Xenopus tropicalis: one gene and its partners. The protein of the gene in region 1 purifies or fractionates together with the protein of each later gene. This does not show direct contact. Links are inferred from orthologs where the notes say so. Each region holds a gene or a part of one and is shown in the gene's direction. Other genes may lie near its edges. The genes, in order: tbc1d15, ubac2 and ubxn8.

Region 1 (7,223 bases):
GTCTACTGAACAGTTTGATGCCCTATATGCATAGATTTACCAAACTATGTGGGGTACAGAGGAAGCCAAATTGAAATACAGCAGACAAAATGTCCATGTGCAAAGACAAGTAACAAAGAACAATATGAAATGCAGTAAAATTGCTAAAACCCCCAAAAAAACCTAAAATCAAATTTTTTTTTTCCTAGTGATATCTGCAGTCTGAATCACAGTTTGAGTATTTTGGCTTGGGCAAATAAGTTTTACAGACAAAGTCAAGCAAACAACAATGGCAATGGAAAATGTAATAAAAACACAAAAATAATAAACAAAAGGTATTGCGCGAATATGCTATCCGCAATGGCAATAAAATAATTTTTCAGGCAAGAAAAAAAACGATGTGATAAAAAAAAAAAATGACTAAATTGCATAAGTGTGTGTGTGTGTAACACATGGCAAAATGTGTTTTGTGGGCATGTGTGTGAGTGTGCAAGTAAGTGTGAGTGCTGTAAGTGCTGTGAATGTGTGAAACCCCCCCCAAATGTAAGTGTGTGTGTGTGTGTATAAGTATAAGAATAAGTGTGTATTAGTGTAATAAGTGTGTGATTGTGTGTTTGTGTGTGTATCTGGCACTAACCGGGGCACAAACAGCTGGAGATCACAGGAGGGAGACAGAAGATCACAGGGATAGCAGCAGCAGCAGTCGGCTCCAGTGTGTGGGTGGCACAGGAAGTGAGGGGGGAGCACAGGAAGGGGGGGCAGAGCAGCAAAAGCCTGCCACATAACATCCACGTGTCAGGCTTTTCCCATGGGGCCCCTGGGCAATTGTGCCCCAGGGGCCACTATTTACCCCCCTCAGGTCGTTCCCTAGGGGGTTCTTTACCCTGCGCTCGCTCCCTGCACTCGGATTAAGCAGGGAGCGCAGAGAACGAGAGCAAGATAAAGAAAACATAGCTCCTACGTGCTTGGCATTTAACATCTTTTTATTCCAGCACGTAGGAGCTACGTGCTTGGCAGGGAAAGGGTTAAATGTCACGGTTCAACACGAACAAGAAATTGTTATTGTTATTATTTTTGATTTTTTTTTTTTAGTTCAGCATTAATCTACTTTCTTGATGCCAGATCAGTGACCCCAAGAAGTTGTTACTCTTTTAAATTCTTAGGCTAAAAATCAAACCCTCTCCCTAAAAAAGAAATTAAGATCATTCTTAGATTGTCTCAGAATGTTACTAAAATTTAAGCTTGATTTACCTCTTTAAGAATTTCTGATGCCGAGGTTATACTGTTTATATAAGGGTAAAAATATAAATAAATAGAATATGACAATGTGAGTGCACACCAGAATGCTGAAACATGGTGCATGAAAATCACCATTTTTGTATCGGCTCTTGTTTATGTTACATGTGAAGAGAGGCATAAATGACTTTTGACCCTGTTTATATGAATATATACAAAGCCATTTTAACTTTCATGTTAAGTAGAAAATGTATAACAAACATCAAATGGCCCAAAGTCACCTCCAGTTGCTCTATGTTAATTCCTTTGTGAGTAGGGTTGCCACCTAGCCAGTATTTGACCAGCCTAGTTGTTTAATCACCAGCTAGGGCCAGCACCTGTATTACAAATTTACCAGCAATGTACTTGCTGGTAAATTTGTAATGCCCTATAAATCCCTCCCTTCAGCGACTCTCTCCGCTTCCTATCACTCTTTATAATCATGAGCTGCCCTCTGCTCCGCCTATAACCACGCCCATTTCCTGGCCTCATTCACCTTTTCCTCTCCCCAAAAGGATGTTGCAAACTGCTCCCAACCCAAAGGCTGGTATTATTGACAGAAAAAAGTGGTAACCCTTGCTTTTTCATTTTTTGTCTTACGATGTGTTAATACAGTACAGATGTGTTAATAAATTAGGCTTTTATGTTTTCTGTGCTCCCGCATTAGTTATATAGATGTATCCTGTGCTGTTAGGGATAATTATTGGATAACCTGCCTCACCCTGTAGTGTTTTACCCATACTGTAGTGAATAAAATGTCCATGGGTACCAAAGGTGTTTTATAGGAACAGATTTCCATTTCATATGTTATAAAAGAAGACATTATAAAGTGTGGTTTAAAGATTTATGTTGCAGAGGTAATGAAGCTAATAATCATGGTAAGTAATGGTAGATTTAAGTGGGGTGGTTATAGCAAAAAATTTACATTATTTTTTATCAACAGCCATATCTTTCCCTTCTGGGAATCACAAATGGATGTATTGAAATATGGCTTCAATTCTGTTCACTCTGATATTTATCTTTGCTATTATAGATTTTTGTCTGAACTAATGTCACCTCATTATCTATATGTAAGTTTATTTGCCTTCTAAACTATTAGAAACTCCATATTTGTTTTAAAAAAAACAAAAAACCTTTATCACTGTCTGTATAGAGTACATGCATAATGTTTCACTTTGTGTAAAAGAAAGAGAGCAGTGTTCTGATTTGTTAGAAGCAGTTTTCTGGTTGCATAAAATGTCCTTAGTGCTAGGCTCCAGGTGAGGGCACTCATGTAGCATCTGTCTTACAAATAGGTTGCCGCTTGCCATACAGTTACTAGATTGACATATGCTTGAAGAGAGCATCCAATCCATCTGTCATAGCCCATAACTCTTCTCTGCTATCTTAATGTGTTTCTAAACTTCCTTTTAGTATTTATATTGCTTGAAATTTCAGTAATAACTGAATCAGATTGGTATTCCAGTGCTTTCTAAATTATGGCCTTAAGAAGCAGAAAATTTTATTTCACATATTTATTCGATTGAAAAATCGATTTTGCACAAATAAAGGATCACATTTTTTCAATACAAAGTCCTGTGAGTGCTGTGTCTATTCCTCGATTATATACTGTTCTCCATACTTGGCACTGAAGCATTTACGGAGTTTTTGGTGTGTGCCCTATTTACCGTGACATTTACCACATATATTAATAAACATAGGTTATATTTTACAGGTAATATGGACAGATCTTCCTTGTCAGAATTTTCATCTGCTTATTTGCTGTGCTATCCTGGAATCAGAAAAACAAGTAATTATGGAGCAACATTTTGGATTTAATGAAATTCTTAAGGTACGTAGAGTCATTAGTCTTAGAATTATGGCAGTTTGGTTAAGCAGCCACTAGTGTTATTGTACCAAAACTGAGCAGACAAAATAGATATAAAGATGACTAATAATTATTTTATATCATCCCTATGTCTGTTCTGAGTGATAAAATAAACTGACCCAAGTTGAAACTGAAGTTTAGAAATCCAAATTTATTGCCATATTGTATAGATGTTGGCAGTTGACCTTCCAATAGAATAGTTGGGTAGATTCTGCCCCCCCAACTTGTGTCTGACCAGCTTAAGAATCAAAAACAAAATAATTGCTGAGTGGGATGCACCAGTGCCAAAATGAAATTTGGTTAAATATTTTTAAAATTTGATTTATTCAAATCAAAAACATCTCCAGTTAAATTGGGTTTAGATATACCTCTGTTGCCCTTTTCTATTTTTGTTAAGCTACATGCTATTTTTTTTTTTTTTTGGAAGGTAACACATCCTACAATACAAGAGGATAAAGCGCTAGTCTTTCTTTTCCAGGTCAATTATACCATTAGAATAGACTCTGTCCCCATGGTTTGTTACAGACATTAAAAGAATGGGTATAACATTACAGAGTATGGAATCTGACAGCAGTTCCAGCATATTGGGTCCATCAACCAACCGAGCTGGGTCAAAAGAGGTGGGAAGACTCTGTGAGTCATAAAATGTATATGTGTGTGGAATTCCTCAGTAACCCTCTAAGTCACACCAAGGACTCCAAACTCTATCAAATTTATCAGGTGCGCCCCTAGTCTCATACGTAAGTTTATGTAGGGTAGCGACAGTGTTCACTAAGTTCTCCCAGGCTGTAATTGCGCTACTTGCTATTTAATGCGCACACAACACCCTGTGGTCATGAAATGCCAGTCCATTCAAACATCTTCAGTATACGTTTAAAATACATACATTTTTAAATAAAAAGACAATCTCTTTCTATAACTGTAACCATTATCAACACCAGCACTGTTATTTTTTCAAAATCTTTAGGCTCGAAAAATGTTTATTTAAATTTACTGGGTCTACAAGATCATTGTAAATCACTGCTCAGCTGCCTTCTCACTCCGGAAATTATTTATTGTCATTTTTGTTATTTAGCACATCAATGAACTTTCCATGAAGCTGGATGTTAACGATGTTCTAAGCAAAGCTGAAGCTATTTCTTTGCAGATGATGAAGTGCAAGGTAATTTAATGTAGGCTGCATATTTCATGTCAATTTGGAGGGATAGAAATGGCAGGTCTTTTTTTTTTTGTACTGTTTTAGATGTGGTAAAACATATGAGCTGCATGCCTTGATTACATTTTAATGTAGAAACTATACAATAGTCAGCAATATCAGCTTTTAACAAAAATGTATTATACAAATTAGATCATTAAAGGGTTTGACCTGAAAATACTGAATACCATATAGCTACATGACGTGTATTTAAAGCTAGATATATGCAGGACTTTGTGTATTTAAAGCCAGATATATACAGGTCTTTGTGTATTTAAAGCTAAAAATATGCAGGTCTTTGTGCATTTAAAGCTAAATATATGCAGGTATTTGTGTATTTAAATATATGCTGGTCTTTATAGGTACTTCAGCACACAAGAAGGTAACAACAGAAAATGATTTTATCACTTAACTTGCAAACAACAACCCCTAAAAAGTTTATTATTAGGTTCATTAACTGCCAGAAAAATTAGGTTGACTTTTCTCTAGCACTTGACTGCCATGATCACAGCTTTTATGGTTTTTGGGTTGCTCTGTACCACACCAAGTATTGTCTGGCAGAAAGAAAAAAAGGAAATATGTTATTTACAGTTTCTGAATAAGCAGTCTATATTTGTTATTGGGATCTTTTAGCGAAATCTCTCACCATGTACAAATTGTAGTCATCAATGATACATTCTCTAATTGGTCTAATATTGGACGAATAAGTGATATGCCACAGGTTTCCCTTATGGGTCCACTTTAATTTAAATTTTTTATTAATAACTTGAATAAATGCATTCAAAGCATGACACAAACCTGCAAAACTGAGTGGGACAATTAAATACATCCAAGAAGTGTTATCCCTGTTATTAGTTTGGGCTAGCTGAGTAGTAGATGAGATTTCATTTTGACTAATGTAAGGTCATATTTATTTGAGATTTAAAAAGATGCAGTCGACTTATACCTTAATGGAACTAAGGTTAATCCTTGATTGTGTTGTACCCTGAATTACTCATGAATAATAATCTTAAATGTAGCAAGCAGTGTTAATAAGCAGCAATAAGGGACACATTTTTCGCTTAAAAAGCCCTGGTAAGGTCCCATATGAAGCAGCTATACTTGCAGATACATTTGTTTAAAAAAATGGTTTTGTAACAAGAGAAAACACAAGAAAACTGAAGTTACTTTGTTACAGAGTTGATCCAGGGACTGGTCCAGTTGACCTTTTGGAATTTGGTCCAATGGTTTGTCTTCTTTTTTTTTTACCTCATGCACTATGTAACAACTAATCTATATGTAGGTAAAAAGAGGTATACTAGAGGTAAAAAGCCCTGCTCACCAGAGCTTACAATCTAAATGCTGTTTTGCTTTATGAAGAATATATGTCTCTGTGATGCCCTTTATGTTTTTGTGGTCAACATTGTATGATGTGATTGAGGTTTTAGGACAGACCTTAAATACCATTAATTATAGAATGTTTAAGTGGGTAGCAGCAAATTTAACACCCTTGTTTGATTAATTAGCATTTAATTATGGGCCATGGCCTTATCTGAGCCATAACTGTGAGTACCAAAAACAAGGATGTCTATGTTATGTAAAACAGTACCATGCTACTAAATTTTTTGTGCTTTGTTCATTTCAGCACCTGGAAGATTGTAGGGGGACCAGAAAGCTATAATTTAGGTTTTAATGGGTTGCTGTGCAGCCCGTAGGCACACAAAAATATCTAAAATCAAGAATGGAAGTTAAAGTAAAAGTTTGATGATAGAACCTTGGATATATGCCTTCTTAGCATGTGCTCAACAATATATTCATTCCATTTAGGTGCTCAAATACATCTTTGATTTTGACGTGCAACCTAGAAATAGACTTTCATCTTGATTTTTTTATGATTGTTAATGTACAAATGACCCCCATGCTAATAGCATCAGTCACAATGCCATGATGCCTACCTGATGGCCACAGTGTTCCTGGTAAAAGTTCTGCTTTGCTTTTTGTTGCAGGATTTACCACTGAATGTTTGTGATGTTATTGGCATAAAGAACAATGGTGTTGCAGGACCAAATGAAGCAACAAGTGAAGAAAATCTTGCCAAAAAACATAAAAAATCATCACCTCAATATGTCCCAGTGCCTGTTATTGCTGCCAATGGAACAAAAAGTGCTGCAACCCTACAAACTTTGCCAAACAGTGTTCACACACCAACTTCTGCCTGATAACACAAATTCCTGTGAACCAAGGGGGACTCACTGAAGAAAACTCACGTAAGACGATTTTGGAGAATTTCAAACATTTTTATCTACAGCAGCAACTTTTCATTAGAGCTTTTCAAAAGGAAAGATATGAACAAATTATTTTTCTAGTGGACACAAACCACCTCTATTCTGTTTCTGTCATTCCTTAAGCCTGTCACTGAGAAAGCAAGTTTACATTGTAAACTGGAAAATATTTATTTTTAGTGGCTTACATGACAGCAATGAAAATAAAGCAACTTGAAGATCATGTGTTTTATATTCCTAAAAAAAGTACAACAAACAGAAGTTTTGTTTATAACTGCGAATTGTGTTTCCTTACTTTGTAGTAATAACAGATTACTGAAAATTGTGTGCATTTAAGGAGGACTCAACTACGTTGTTTTTTGTAATCACATTTTGCAGTGTTCAACAGCGTCTAATATAATATTCCATAGGAAAGTATCTGAGGATTCCAGATATAATGTATACAAATAATACACGAGCAATTAAAATGCATAAATCTTTCTATACAAGAATAGTTCAGAAAAGACCGGGACTCTAGTACTTTCCTAATTCTACTTAAGGTTTAATAAGGAATCTGATTACTGAGTTTAACTTTCCCTTGCCATTCCCAAGTACATTTATCCTTATAAATGCTTTCATTTAATGTTAAAGAGATAACGTTGATATA
Region 2 (7,844 bases), on another chromosome or scaffold:
TTTGATACACTGTGTGGTTTGCTATATTACTACATACAAGTTTGTGTCCACTGGGAAGGTGTTTGATTGTCAGTTATCTTGATAAAAGGTCACACCTGGCCTGAAACGTTGCTGGAATGCCCTAAGATGTATGCAATAAGGCTAATGAGAGACCAGGCATATGGCGTATACTTTCGGGAAGCTGAAAAACGCTTGCCGAAAATACCGCCATATGCCTCCTACCTGTGCCTGCACCCGAATGATTGGAATATGCTCGGTTGCAGGCACATGTAGCCAATATCTGCATAAAAATGCGAGAGAATGCAAAGTCTCAGAAATTTGTAGAAGGAAATCACAGTTTTGCTATCCAATCTGTGTACCGTGGTGAAGCAGGAGTCACATAAAGTAACCTAAAGACTTACTTGAAAGTATGCGTGTCCTTACTAAAAACATAGGTGCGTGTTGCTATGGCAACACCTATTCATTCACTTGTTTCTATAGTTTTATATATGTTTATAATTGATATATTAATATCAGTGTAATCTGTGCATATTACATCAATCCAAGGGTTGGTATAATAGTAATTTCCATGACTGCATCAAATGGACAGGTGTACACTGTGGCAACGCCAATTTGTCTCCTGGACACAAGGCCCTAGCAATCAGATTAAAGTGCCAGGATACTCAATATGTACGGAAGTATTAATAGGGAGAGTTCTTTTTGTATGTCAGGAAGAACTATATAAACCTATTAGCACTCTCAAAGCCATATAGGTATACAGTAATATATTACATGAAAAATAATAAACTAAGTACAAACTAAGTAGAGCAGTGGTCCCCAACCAGTGGCCCATGAGTAATGTGTTGCTCACCAACCCCTTGGATGTTGCTCCCAGTGGCCTCAAAGCAGGTGCTCATTTTTGAATTTCTAGTAAGAAGGCAAGTTTTGGTTGCATAAAAACTAAGTATAATGTCAAACAGAGCCTTCTGTAGGCTGCCAGTCCACATAGGGGCTATTAAGTAGCCAATTATAGCTCTTATTGGCACCCCCAGGAACCTTTTCCATGCTTGTTTTGCTCCCCAACACTTTTTCCATTTAAATGTGGCTTACAGGTATAAAATGTTGGGGATCACTGAAGTAGAGGGTGGGTCGCCATCAAGTGGATCCAGTTTAAAAAAGTGGGTCCATATTTACAGAGAAACTTCGGTGGTATTACACCAAGAGTTGAAGTGACTATGCACAAAAGGTGTAGAAACCAGAAAGTAGACTAAATAAAATACCAAGTATAAGGGAATACAAGAAACCAAGAAGATATGTACCAAGGTACAAGAGCCCGCTAATGATACTCACCGCCTATCAAGTCTGGTTGGCATTAACTTGAGAGCACTAATGTTAAAGTAGTTAAATCTTTAAGTGGATGAAAATCTTTTAAGGGCACTCATGGTTAATTCAGTGGTCACATCATTAAGTGGTTAACAGTATTACCGAATGCCACACGGGTGGATAAGTGTGAGATTAACGTTATTGCTTTACTGTGGTTATAATGGGACTAAGTTATCTGTACGGCGCTGGATACTGGGTAGGGATCGCCACTAGTAAATATTAGGGTACATCCCAGGGGTCACTCTACCCGTCCTATAAGGCGCCCCAGTGTGGGGGCGGCTACAGTGTAGCTTAATGTAGTTCACATTTAACTCCTGTAATTGGTAAATGGGAATATTAGCGCAAATTCTTTGCATTGCTACGCTCGATCTCTCTATTCTCATTACCTTAAATGCCCCAAATCGCGACCCGTAACTGTACTTCGCAATGCATGACGGGAGTAGTAGTCTAATGATATGTGTTTCCTTGCAATGGCTTCCTGCTTGTAGGTAATCGCTAAGATATACCTCCTGTGCGTGTTGTTGGGCTTATAGTATCAGGACGGTGTTTGCGCTCTAAGGACTAGCACAGTAGTTGGAAAAGAGGAAGAGATACGTAAAGTTTGTGAATTTATACAGGCAGGCGTTCTGTATGTTTACAGCTGAGTAATACACCAAGTACTCACATGAGAAGTAGTGGGTATAATAGGATACTGATCGCCTGCGTCTTAGCTTTATCTTACAGCAGGAAACAATTAGGCTTGATATACTCTGCCTTAGTGCCTTTATTCATATATATGCAAAGGTTAGGTACTTTTCTAATAGGGAGCTGGTGGATTTTGTAGGTTGCCAGTGGCACCTCTGACCTTCCTAGGAGGGTAATGCACTTTGCATGTGGTTCAATGGAGAGTTTGGGATAGAGTGCAGCATTAGTATGAAAGCAAGGCTATGTCATTGCTGCCCAATCTCTTCTATTTAGGGGGTTGAATTCAGAACAAACTACATGCTTATGCCAGACTTTGTCAGCACAATCTGCATCTTTATTTGAAAGTGAATGTTGGCAAATAGGTCTAAAAAACTTATAGGTAGACTGAAGTTGAGGACTAAAATAATTTGGAGCCTGTATTCTCCACATGGGAACAAACCTATTTTTTTATAGCACCTCCGCGTTACACAGGACATACTATGTTTGATTTACAAACATAGATGCTAAATTGCACAGGTGCAGGTATAATATGACACCAAAGATCTGACTTGTTGTTTTTGTCAGTTTAGCACCTGTCTTCGTAAGTGTGTATATAATACAAGGATTTTTCACCTGTGCGTTGGGACCCAACACCCTGTGGATTGGGTTATCTGTTGCAAGGACCCTACACACAAACTGTGTATTGCTTGCCTGGTTTGGCATATGGTTGAATGAGACTATTCAGAGGTGCTAGGGATAGGTATGACTCAGCAGTCTTGGTACACATTGGAACCAATGCCAAACTTAGAGGAGGGTGGAAGTCCTCAAGAATGACTTAAATAAATAAAAAAAACTAGATAAAGCTGAGGGCGAGGACATATGAGGGCAGTACCTGTGCCATGTGCAACATTAAGAAGGCTGTGGGAACTTAGGGCACAGTCACATTTAAAAAAAAAAAAAAAAAAAAAGTTGATCTGCTTTCATCCGCAGCTATGTGTAGCTCCACAGACAGGCACTGGGTCGGCCTGTGTGCAGCTATACTGTGTAGGCTTTGGCCTGAAAATGCAGACAGGCTGACCGTAGTACCAATCTGAGATTTGCAAATATTTTCCTTTTCTTTTCTGGTAACATGTCTTCCATTATTTTGCAGCAATATTTGCTTATGTTGAGTTACAAATTTTGGTTAAGTTTCAAGTTTTCAATTCAATTATTTTACATTTTTTGCAGATTTAAATCCTAAGGATGCTATGCAGGAGTATAGTGCAATCTACTATAGGTAGTTTACCTATTACCGGGGCTGTAAAAGGTGTATACTTGTATTTTTGGAAGTACCTATCCCGGTAACTTATTCTTCAACAGAAGGTGATCAATGTTTGCTTTGACGTTTGCTGTGGACAGGTGAAAAGCCATCATGATTGCCAGTACTGGTTCGAGCGGGCTCTGTAAGTAGTAAAGTTTGTCACAGAGCTGTGGCTGTGTGTATGAGTATTATATTTTGCCATGTAAATTTGGAATATAACCTTTCAGAAGCTGTTAAATGAAACCATGTTAGCAATAAATGTACAGGTATGGGACCTGTTATTCAGGACCTGGGGTTTTCAGTACAAGGGACATTTCTGTAATTTGGATCTCCATACCTTAAGTCTCCTAAAAAATTGTTTAAACATTGAAGAAACCTAATACTGGTATAGGACCCGTTATCCAGAATGCTTGGGAAAAAGGGTATTCTGGATAAGTGGTTTTTCTGTAATTTGGATCTCCATACCTTAAGTCAACTAAAAAATCAATAAAACATTAATTAAACCCAATAGGATTGTTTTGCATCCAATAAGGATTATTTATACCTTTTTTTTTTAAATGTTTTTATTTTCCTTTTTTTCCAAACAAATAAAACAAATATAAGAGAGGGGGAGAGAAAAGGGAGAAAAGGAGAAGGGAAGAAGGGTTGGTAGGGAGTTTGCACATTTGCTCGCATTGGGGTTAGTGAGACTTAAGGGGTTAATATGGTAAATTTGGGGTGTCTGCTGTTGTAGGCAGGGGGTCCCCTTCCACATCCAGCCATGGTTGCCATACTTTATCAAACTTTGCTGGGCATCCTCTGGCAAGATATGTCAATTTAATGGAGGGTAGGGCTCCGTTGATGAGCTTGATCCATTGCTTTTTCCGGGGGGGTTTGGGTCCCATCCAGCGAAGTATAATACATTTCCGAGCATAGTAGAGTAGGGATCGGGCAAATAGTCTAGAGGCAATGCTTCCTACTTGGTCCTCCAGGATGCCGAGTAAGCAGGCGTATGATGAGAGGAGGGGAGGATAGGCAAGGTGACTTGACATATGTGTGGTGATGTCTATCCAGAAATCCTGGATCCTAGGCCAGGTAATTCTCATATACTAGGGATGTTTCCCGGAATTGGTCCACGAATGCCTCCCTCAGCTGTAAGTATTGGTACAGTTTAGCATCAGTCAGCAAGGGCCTGCTTCTAAGATCAGTGTATGTGGGGAACAAGTTCTCCTCAAGTATATCCTTGAGCCTTTTTATACCTGCTATAGGCCAGATTTGGAATTGAGGTAGTTGCGTAAGGTGAATTAGGTTACTATTGTTCCAGAGGGGGAGCCTGGGTGAAAGCAGTGGTGGGTCTATACCTAATTTGCGCAGTGCCATGAGCCACAGTCTATGCGTGAGCTTTATGATAGGGGTAGTATGCTGTATGTCTCCTTGTGTTCGGTATGGGGCGTTTTCCATGGCTTCAACCGAGCCCAGTATTGTGGCTTGTAGTGCCATATTTGGGTTTTCAGCATCTGGGGGGATTATTTATACCTTAGTTGGGATCAGTTACAAGGTACTGTTTTATTACTACAGAGAAAAAGGAGATCAGTTTTAGAATTCTGAATGATTTGAATAAAATGGAGTCTATGGGAGACGGGTTTTCCGTAATTCAGAGCTTTCTGGATAACAGGATTCCAGATAAGGGATCCCATACCTGTGTTATTGTTTTGCCTCCACTGTGCATTTATTATATCTTAGATGGGGATCAAGTTACAAGGTACTATTTTATTATTACAGAGGAAAAGGAAATACTTTTTAAAATGTTGAATTATATTTGATTAAAATGGAGTATCTGGGAGATGGCCTTCCAATAATTTTCATTTAGACATTAATATATTAATATTTTTTTTATGATATGCTGTTTTCTAGACTCTCAAAAGGACATCATTCCATTGCCTAATGAATTAAAGTTATCTGGATTTATTTTTCTTTGTATGGAACCAGGGCCAGATTTGTGATTGGGGCGCCCCGAGGCTGCCCCCTATGGCCGCCCGCCCGCCCACCTCGATCGCACATGCATCTACCTAGCCCCCCACATGTGCATCACAACTCATATGGAGCATTGGGGAGAGGACGCGCTAAAGTTTATGCTTGTCCTCTCCCCATTGCTCCATATGCCGGCAAAATTTTCTGGTGCGGCAGGGCAGCATGTCGCCCCTAAATTTCTGCCACCCTAGGCCCGGGCCTTTGTGGCCTCACCACAAATCTGGGCCTGTATAGAACTTTGTCCTCCTAGAATGCATCTCTGCATTTAGGAAGTGGTGGGTGGCACATGGGTGTGCCTAAGAATGTCCCTAGCATTTGTGTTGTTCAAAACGTGTAAGCACCGGGGTACACTGAGGAGAACTTTCCTGTGTTCCTGACAGCTATGTCAAGATTTTTAATCTGGAGCAGTGTGCAGCAACAGCTTTCAAAAAGGGTCTGTGATTCCAGGTTGCATGTAGCCTTTAGTAAATGTGCACTTACAGCTTGACCTTACTTACTACAGCACTGACCTTCAAGAACATCTTTGGTTCCTGTTTTTCTGGGCAAATTTACATTTTGAAAATGAGAAGTAAAATAATTAAAATGAGGTCCCTGCTATTGGAAATACCCTTACAGGAAACCACAAACCCATACAAAACATTCATACAAAAGCATTTTAAAATTAGAATATATGTAAATGCATGCAATTAATCAGTAACTGCAACCTCCTTTATTATTAAGATGAAACCCTGAATGCACATGTATCTGATTCTTTCCAGAGTCACAGCCTTTTTTTTCTTAGAGATTTCTTTAATTTTTGTTTGAGCAAGGCACTCTCTACATAAGCTGGACAAAATAAACAGAATAATAAGAAACACAAAAGCACTTTAAAGGGTTAGGTCATTTTTTTAAATAATCTCCCACATGCTGTCCCTATTGCCAAATAGCCCCATTTCTTTTAAACAAGTCAGCTCCCCCACTCCAAGGGGCAAGTGTGCTCACTGCTAATGCTTCTAGAACATATACTTTTATTATGAAAAGTATGCTAGTTTTATATATTAAGAATTATATATCTTTTTACCAACGTGTCGTTACACACTATTTCATACATATATTGAAAGCTTACGATGTCCTGAAAAAATTTAATTTTCTTTAGTAAAAAATTCTTCACACAAAATGTCCCTGAACTAAAAGAACATATAATGTTGAAAATTTACTTAGTAAGCAGTGTGTCCATATGAAGAAAATTTGCTAACCCTACTTAATATTCATTAAGCCACAGTATAATATTTTGCTGCTATGTAAAGGATAATAATTATCCTAATAGAAAATGTATTGTGTGCAAAGTACATGTTTTTGTGTTTTTATCTACAGATAAAGCCCCGCTGTCCAAAGGACTCTTACTTATCCCAAGCTTTCTCTCCATTGTGTTGACATTTTTGTTTCAACAGCAACAAGAGTTGTTTCTCTATAATATAAAAGCAATAAAAGACGATTTTCATGTAAGTTGACTAATACTGTGCTCACAATTATACTTTGTTCAAATAAATTGCTGACACTGCTTAATTACCGCACTGCTGTTAAAGGAGAAGGAAAGGCAAAGTCACTTGGGGGGGCCAAAATGTTAGCCACACCCAAGTGACTTTAATCGCTTACCTTGTACCCCGGGCTGGTGCCCCTGTTCAGAGAAAACAGCACCAGCTCAGGGTACCTGTAGCGGAGCACTTCCTGCTTCCTTTTCCTAAAATGCCAGCGGTCGGCGTATGCGCAGTAGAGTGAAAAGCCGACTTCTCTGTTAAAGTTTGGCTTTTCACTCTACTGCGCATGCGCGTGCACGAGAAAGAGTAAGAAGGAAGCGCTGGTGCTGTTCTCTCCGAACAGGGGCACCAGCCCGGGGTAAAAGGTAAGCGTTTTAAGTCACTTGGGGGTGCCTAACATTTTGGCACCCCTAAGTGACTTTGCCTTTCTTTCTCCTTTAAGTGATTTATTGTGCTTGGGCAAATGTAAGCAAAGTCAATATTAAGGCCTTACTGTAGCAGTATGTTTATGAAATTCATGTTTGTCATATGGAACATTAACCCAAAGATTCCAGAGAAACTTTTATAACTTTTATAGCCTTCAAAAAGGATGTTACTTATTTCTGAATGATGACGGTCCGTAGCAGCACAACAGAAAACCACAACCTATATATGTAGCTAAAACTTCACAGCCTACAGGAAATCTTGCCTTCCAGCTAACTAAATGTAATATTAAGCTATATTTTAACTGTATTTTGCCATCTTATTATTTTTAAGCTATGTAAATTTAATAAAATGAATACAGAGGTGGTACATGGTACAAATGGAATCAGATCTAAAAACAATTGTTTCATAATTACTGTTAAGGTGGCCATACACGGACCGATTTTTTACTTACAAACGACCGATTCCCGAACGATCCGATGCTATCGTTAAGTTATCGTATAGTTGGTGGTGTACGAACGATTGTCGGCCCACTAAACGAGCCGACATTATCGTCCCCAAAATCGATC
Region 3 (7,223 bases), on another chromosome or scaffold:
TAAATTAAAAGCATAGAGTACTACAGTGTTATTGAATATTTTATGAGAATGCACTTGTCATACAACTTGTATCTATCAAAACATAATGTGACGCATTCTGGGGATTGGGAATCTGAGGATATTGCATAGATAAGAGAATTTTCTTTGTAACCAATATTGATTTTCAAATCAAATTGTTAAATTGAGTATGAAATTCTGTCAATGTTCAATGTCATAATCAGGTTAATTTGCATGCTGAGAATGTTCTAAAGCCACGTGAAGAACTGAAGCTTCAAAAGAAAAAAGAAAAATATGGTAAAACACAACGATGGACATTATCTCAAGGCTACAGGCTAGGTGTAAGTTTGTTCTTTCTTTAATACATAAAATCATTGTCATATGTATTTTTGTCTGGCTTTTGTGAACTGCCAGCATTACAGAAGTTGCCATCTCACCACACAGATAAAAATGCATAAGGCAGTTCAGTACTGTATATTGTGGATGCCCTATGTAAGGCAAGTGTAAGGATATACAGACAAATGAGGTCCTCATTCTCTGCATTAAGCTAATAAAAAATATTAAAAAATATGTAAGTCGCCGGCGGGATGGCAGACGCGGTGGCGCGATTTCGCGCAAATCGCCGAAAAAGACTCGCGAGGCTTTTTCGGCGATTTCCCAAAATTGCCCCGCCGCGTCTGCCATCCCGCCGGCGACTTACATGTTCGCCGGTGGGATGGCAGGGGGAAGGCAACTCAGGGAGATTAGTCGCCCGCGAGCAGGGAGTTTTCCCGCGGGCGACTAATCTCCCCGTGTACCAGAGCCCTTAAGATATTGAGATTTAAATTACAGAAAGAATCCTTATCTGTAAAAAAAAAAAAAGAACCCTGGTCCCAAGCATTCCTGATAATAGATGTTATTATGTTGTTAAATGTTGTTATTAAGATGTGATACCAACTTTTTACATTTATGCTCTTAAATGTCTTGGCAGACATGATATGTTTATGAATTATAATATGCTCCCACTTTAGAACATGACTATAATTCTATGAAATGGAATTTAAGCCTCAAATATGATGGACTCAAGTTTTACAACTAATATATCAAGTTCCTTGCTATTCTTTTTTATATCGCAAAACCTTTTCCCAAAAAGCATGATGATGTGGGAAAAGATTTTGTGATTATATGAGAATATAGAGCTTTTTGGCCAAAGTTCTAAATCTAACTCTGCCCAGAGTTTAAAAACCACTGTATCTACATTGAAATATAGTCGTATCATCTGTGGGCTCATTTCCAGCATGCATTGTGCTTGTTAAGAAAGAAAACTTTGGAAAAAAAAAAAATGGAAATTCTGCAAGGGCACTTGTATCTGCCTGCTTAAAATTTAGTCCAGGGAGAATGTTCACCCTATAGCTGGACAGTGATTCCAAACACAAGGCTAAAGTAATACTAAGTAGTTCAAGAACACAATAGGTCTACAATGGCCAAATCAAAGCCCTGGTCAATAATACTAGTCAATTAAGTCTTAATTGCTACTAGTAAATCAGAAGCTAATGTCTAATGTTTTCTTTTTTTAAACCAGGAGGCTGAGGAGGGTGTGAATAAATGCAGTGATTCAGCCCATGGCACAGAGAGTGCAAATAATGAGGCTTTAAGGAAAAGAAAACTACCAGAGCAAGTCACCAAGCCCTTGCCAAAAGATGAGCAGCCCAAACCTAGAAAGGTATTTTCTGATTACATTCAGTGTATCATATGAAAACATAAGAAATATATTCTGAATGTTTTTGTCAGATTTGTATGTTTTCTGCCATCAAAGCAAACATAGGCAATACATAAACAAGTCTGATATGTCATTTTCATTTCACGCAGAGTACACGTTACATATATAATGTATTGCCGTTCCCTTTTCAGTTGAGGCACTGACCATGTTGCTGAATAGGTTACTTGACTTTTTGGGTGAAGGGGTGAGCCTAACCACTATACTGGCAAGTGATACTGCAGGGTCCTAACCGTTCTGGTCTTCTCAGCGGGCTTCTGGCTGCTCCAATTACTACCATGAGCCTTACTCTCACTACTAGAGTAAGCTAAAATAGAATCCTTCATGACACTAACTACTCCTACTGAGGCCTCAGGCTTTCCTGCACCAACCTCCCACTCCAGCAAGTGAGGTCTGAAGAGACAAAGAACATGGTTACTTCCCTTTTTGAAGACTAGGTGCAACTAACATTCCTGGCCAATCACAGAACTGCCAAGGAACCTGGAAAAGAAAACTGCATCCCCACCCACCTCTGAAATAAACCCAGCTCTTGGCTGATTTGCCTTCCTACATAATTAATGTTCTTTTTTGTTTGTTTTTGTTGTGTACACTTTAGGTGTAACACATATATTGGGCTCTCAAAATCTAATTCTTGCAAGTATAAATCTGCAGACGATGGAGCAAGTTTAGTAGATCTTTGGTCTAGAAATACACTAACCCAGAAATAGGTATGCCAGATCAAGTCACATCTCACCCACAATTGAGGCTTATGGGATCACTAAGTGCATGGTTCCAATTGCCCCATGCCCACCCACCATGCCACTTTCAAACTGCTTCTAAGCAGAGTAATGCTTGCAACTTTAATGCTCTAAAAAGTTCTTACAGCACTTAATATATTTTTGTCTATTTAAAGGTCATTGCTTTGCCAGAAGAACCTTCTGAAGTAGGGGATGGGGTAAGTAACATTTATGGTGCTTTTGATTTTATACTTATTACAATATTATTAAGGCCTAAGTGCTTTTCAAAAGAAGCTTAGGCAAATTAAGTGGCATCCAGGGTAATGACTATCCTTTTCACTGGTTGCCAAATGAGAAACAAAGGGCTTTTCTGTTAAAAACAGTGGCTGCTTATTATGCTTCCCATTGCCACTGCTACTCGGCAAAAGTTTTTAAATGTTCTTGTGTGCGGTAGCTTTCTGGGGCAGTGACATAAGCTGTTGCAAATTTGCCACTACTACTAAATAATCATCACATATGGCACCATTTCAGTAACTCAACATTGTAAATGGAACACTGACAAATACTAACAAATTCATTTTGGCATTTTACTGCCAATAGATTTGCCACATTAGTGCCACCTAGAACAATATATTTATTCTGCAGAAACCATTACCATACCTGAGTAAATCGCTTTAGAAGCTTTCTCCATTTGCTTAAGATAGCAGCTGCCATTTTCAGTAGCTTCCTTCCTGCAGTCTAGCCCTTTTAGTTCAGATCACACATTCCTAAGGGATGGGGTGGGAGTTCTTCGCATTCTAGTGGGAGTGAGGAGCAGGAGAGGGGAGAGAGAAGAGAACTGTGCAGACTCTGGCCACAGGAATTAAGGATGTTTCTGGGAGAGGAAGACAGACACTGGAACATCATGTTTACAAAAAGAGAGACCAGAAATCCTGTGTTTCTTTTGATAGTGCAGCATTACTGTTAGTGCTTATGGCTGTATTTACATAGACATTTCTGATAAAGCTTACTTAGTTTTTACCTTTTTTTCTCCTTTAAACCATTTACAACAACATTTTTAGTTGAGTATAATTAAAGAATGTTGCTGTGTTGACAGAGTAAGTCATTATATAAGGGCTCTGGCACACGGGGAGATTAGTCGCCCGCGACAAAACTCCCTGTTCGCGGACGACTAATCTCCCCGAGTTGCCTACCCCTGCCATCCCACCGGCGAACATGTAAGTCACCGGCGGGATGGCAGACGCGGCGGCGCGATTTCAGGAAATCGCCAAAAAAGACTCGCGAGTCTTTTTCAATGATTTGCGCGAAATCGCCCCGCCACGTCTGCCATCCCGCCGGCGACTTACATGTTCGCCGGTGGGATGGCAGGGGTAGGCAACTCGGGGAGATTAGTCGCCCACGAACAGGGAGTTTTGTCGCGGGCGACTAATCTCCCCGTGTGCCAGAGCCCTAAGAATTCAGCATTGTTAACAGGCATGCAGATTGGAACTCAAGAGGCTATAGATTAGGATAACTAAATAGACTTCTGCCAGTGAGTATGAAAAATAAGGATATTAGGGCATCTGTTAGGGCCCTGGTACTGCATTTTCAAGTCTGTTGCTGAGTTAAGGACAATCCTTTGCTTTGGCACACCTAGGGTATTGAAAAGCAGAGCTTCACTAAAATAGCATCTTTATTTAGATCAGCTAAAAATAAAATCCTTCTGGGTTATATTAGCAAGCAGGCACTTACTCAAAGGCACAAGTACATTATGAGAAAATACAGTCATGTGTGTGCAAGTGCACTATACAAAGTGCAATTACAGATAAAATTCACCATGTTTTTTACCCAGAATGGAGCATTTTCTCCCACACTTCCTGGTCGATTGCTGATGATTGCTGCGTCCATTTTTGCATTACTGCAATTGCAGCTGTGGTGGTAAATTAGCAATGATGTTTGCTGATAATAATAATCAACAAACATATTAGTGCGCCGAAACAATACCAATAGCAATAACACATGGAGAGGAGCACTGTATCGGGCAGGACTGAACCCAGGAGCAACAACTGCAGGTGGCGAACAGTGACACGAGTCACGCGAGTGACTCTCGATAAGTGCACCATATATTGTGTTTGTGAGTGTATCAGTTAAGTTTTTAATTGCATTAAAGTAAATATATTTTTACACATATGGCATTTGCCTCACAGTAAGTGTATCGAAAGAGAAGGGAAACGGATACGTTGTGGAATGAGTTTAAATTCTTTAATGCTGGGTATTTACCTATTTGGAGTGGTTCTTAACACTATCTATCTTTCTGGGTCAATGAAAGTGATATTATTGGATGTTACACAAACCCAAGTGGTCTGTAAGTAGAATAACAATTGGAAAAGGATATTTTGCGGACAAGAAGATGTGATATAAGTAAAGTAATCACTAGTGATTAATGGATACACATATGGAAGTGCATGTTGGAAAGTAATTAACAATATTACACTATATATTTTTTTTTCTTTTCCTCATCATTGTCACGTATAAGGCAGAAGAGGGCACGTCAGACTATATTTTGACCTGGGACACAAGGTATCTGAAGTGAGGAGCAAACACTGGAAATTGCCCTTCACTTTAGGCCAGTATTGTGAGAGCCACCTCCAGCTATCAATCCCTATGTGGAGCACAATGCCATTCCTTTTAGTTTTCCTTGCTATCTTATATTCCTCAAATGTAATCTAGCAATGCTAGTCCTATAATCTGACTAAACCGCATTGATGGGGTCCCTGTTCTTTGACTTTCATTAGAAGTGTTGTCTTTCTAGGGCAGAACTCTTTATTGGGCCTTGTGGAAACCAGACACATCAAGCTGGAGAGAGGATGGAAGGCCAAAGAGTAAAAACCACTGTTTTCGAGATCACTATAGTGATAACTAATCTATGGGCCAATAACAAAGATATGTAAATAAGGTAACTTAGATACACAGGCTTTTGTCTAGCAACTAGAGGAATAGCAGTTGTAGGGGATTTACAACATAAAAACTGTTAACCCTATTGGTCCCCACAATTACTTATGGCAGGTTAAAGCTGGTTTTCTGTGGAATGTCATGAGACCACACCCCTTAACAGCAAACACATGAAAAGGGAAAGTAAAGGAATGGAGCTGGGCTGGGAGCTGATGAATCTGCATTTGTACATATAACAGTAAAGCAGCTTGTTGTTTATATCCTCATATACACAGCACTTTAGGCTCATTTGCATTTGGGTTTGTACTGCTCACCAGCAAGCTTAGATCAGCTGCCTGCAATTTACACATGCAGATACAAACCTTAATTCAATATCCAGATACAGGTGTAACAAAAGAGTGTATAGAAGAGAATTCCTCCTTACAGGTGACACATCAATTTAAGCAATATTACAGACCTCTGCACAGGCAACTATGTGTGTAAAGGCTCCTGTATGTGGGATTCACAGACACCTCTCTATGGGGGGAATTCACAAAAGTGGTGATATTGAGACAAAATAAAAGTGGAGATAGATTTGCCGGAATTTCCACCATATTCACAAACCTCTGTATCCACTTTTGTGAATTTGTCTTTTAAACAGACAGTTTTCAGATTTTGTCATTTTACCGACATTTTGTATGAATTTGCCTTTAGCTCTTAGTAAATGTGTCGGTGCCCCCAAACCCAGTCCCACAGCTACAGGAGCCTCAGGGGAAGGAATTTACCCGCAGGATTTGGCATTTCACTTTGGGGCATTTCCTGAGGGGTAATTTTACTTTACCCAGGGAAACTATACATCATTCAGGCCAAGCTGGGCTTTCTATATTTCTGTGTAATTCCCCTTATGTAACGAGATGTAAGGGTCTAAATACCTTCTTCTCTAGCCCCTACTCATTACTGGGCAGCAGCAATCCGGCCCACACACCAACATGCCCAGTGATAGGGGCCCAACAGGACTAGGGCCCCCCGGGTCTTTATCCAGTGCCCTGTGGGGCCAGTCCAACCCTGTACCCCAATATCCCAGTTTGGGTGCCAGTGTGTAGGTGCTGTTTGCTGATACCCAAGATGGCTGCTGGGAACGGGTGGGGGCAATGCTGTCAGGCAGCTCTGTAGTTCTGCCCTTGCTATGGGGGCATAGATAAGTTGGGGCAAATGTCAGTGAAAATTTGCCTGGGAGGCTTTACTTTTCCTTTAAATAAAAATGTTTACAATATATTGTTCTAGGGTTAGACAAAAACTTGTCCCCTAACTATAGTCTACTAATCCCCATTAATATGTTAATGACCCCCCAATGGGGCCCCTATGAGAGGTGTAACTGAGCTTTACTCCATTTTGAAAATGTTGGGGAAAAATGTCTGGAAAAAATGTTAAAACGTCGTATAAATGTTGTTTAAACGACAAATTCACAAAAGTGTCTGCAAAAATGGAAAAGTGCGTATTCCATTAATTCAGGTGCAGGCACAGGTAGGAGGCGGATGGCGCTATTTTCGGCAATCGACTTTTAGCTTGCCAAAAATATACACCAGACGCCTTGTCTGACATTAGCCTTACTCTGCTAAAGCCAGTCCATGTAAGAAGTGGCTATACTGTTATCAATTAGCTTGCATACATATAAAGAGTGACTACAATTTTATTGCACAAACAGTAGCAGTAGTTACTGTAGTAGTTACTGTTCCTACAACAAAAGGCAAATTGTAGTTTTATATGAATGTGCAATTGGATGCCCTAAAGTTATTGTTTAACTACAACTCCCACATCACCTGCCAGCTTACTTGGCATGTATG

What was found.
Region 2: the proteins of tbc1d15 (region 1) and ubac2 purify together in Homo sapiens (affinity purification with mass spectrometry; 3 studies listed by BioGRID and IntAct, counting the BioPlex papers as one, with this or other methods). This does not show direct contact. The link is inferred for Xenopus tropicalis from reciprocal best matches to the Homo sapiens genes TBC1D15 and UBAC2.
Region 3: the proteins of tbc1d15 (region 1) and ubxn8 purify together in Homo sapiens (affinity purification with mass spectrometry; 3 studies listed by BioGRID and IntAct, counting the BioPlex papers as one, with this or other methods). This does not show direct contact. The link is inferred for Xenopus tropicalis from reciprocal best matches to the Homo sapiens genes TBC1D15 and UBXN8.

What each region holds. Positions count from the first base shown.
Region 1 is NC_030679.2:60,042,562-60,049,784, forward strand, and holds part of tbc1d15 (TBC1 domain family member 15), read left to right. Parts: intron 1-2,968; coding exon 2,969-3,085; intron 3,086-4,196; coding exon 4,197-4,283; intron 4,284-6,301; coding exon 6,302-6,514; 3' UTR 6,515-7,223. UniProt on the Homo sapiens protein: Acts as a GTPase activating protein for RAB7A. Does not act on RAB4, RAB5 or RAB6.
Region 2 is NC_030678.2:121,148,584-121,156,427, reverse strand, and holds the start of ubac2 (ubiquitin-associated domain-containing protein 2), read left to right. Parts: upstream 1-3,254; 5' UTR 3,255-3,436; coding exon 3,437-3,467; intron 3,468-6,688; coding exon 6,689-6,816; intron 6,817-7,844. UniProt on the Homo sapiens protein: Restricts trafficking of FAF2 from the endoplasmic reticulum to lipid droplets.
Region 3 is NC_030677.2:97,447,976-97,455,198, forward strand, and holds part of ubxn8 (UBX domain-containing protein 8), read left to right. Parts: intron 1-221; coding exon 222-338; intron 339-1,558; coding exon 1,559-1,699; intron 1,700-2,645; coding exon 2,646-2,687; intron 2,688-4,300; coding exon of another isoform or gene 4,301-4,390; exon of another isoform or gene 4,391-5,229; intron 5,230-5,260; coding exon of another isoform or gene 5,261-5,371; exon of another isoform or gene 5,372-5,404; intron 5,405-7,223. UniProt on the Homo sapiens protein: Involved in endoplasmic reticulum-associated degradation (ERAD) for misfolded lumenal proteins, possibly by tethering VCP to the endoplasmic reticulum membrane. May play a role in reproduction.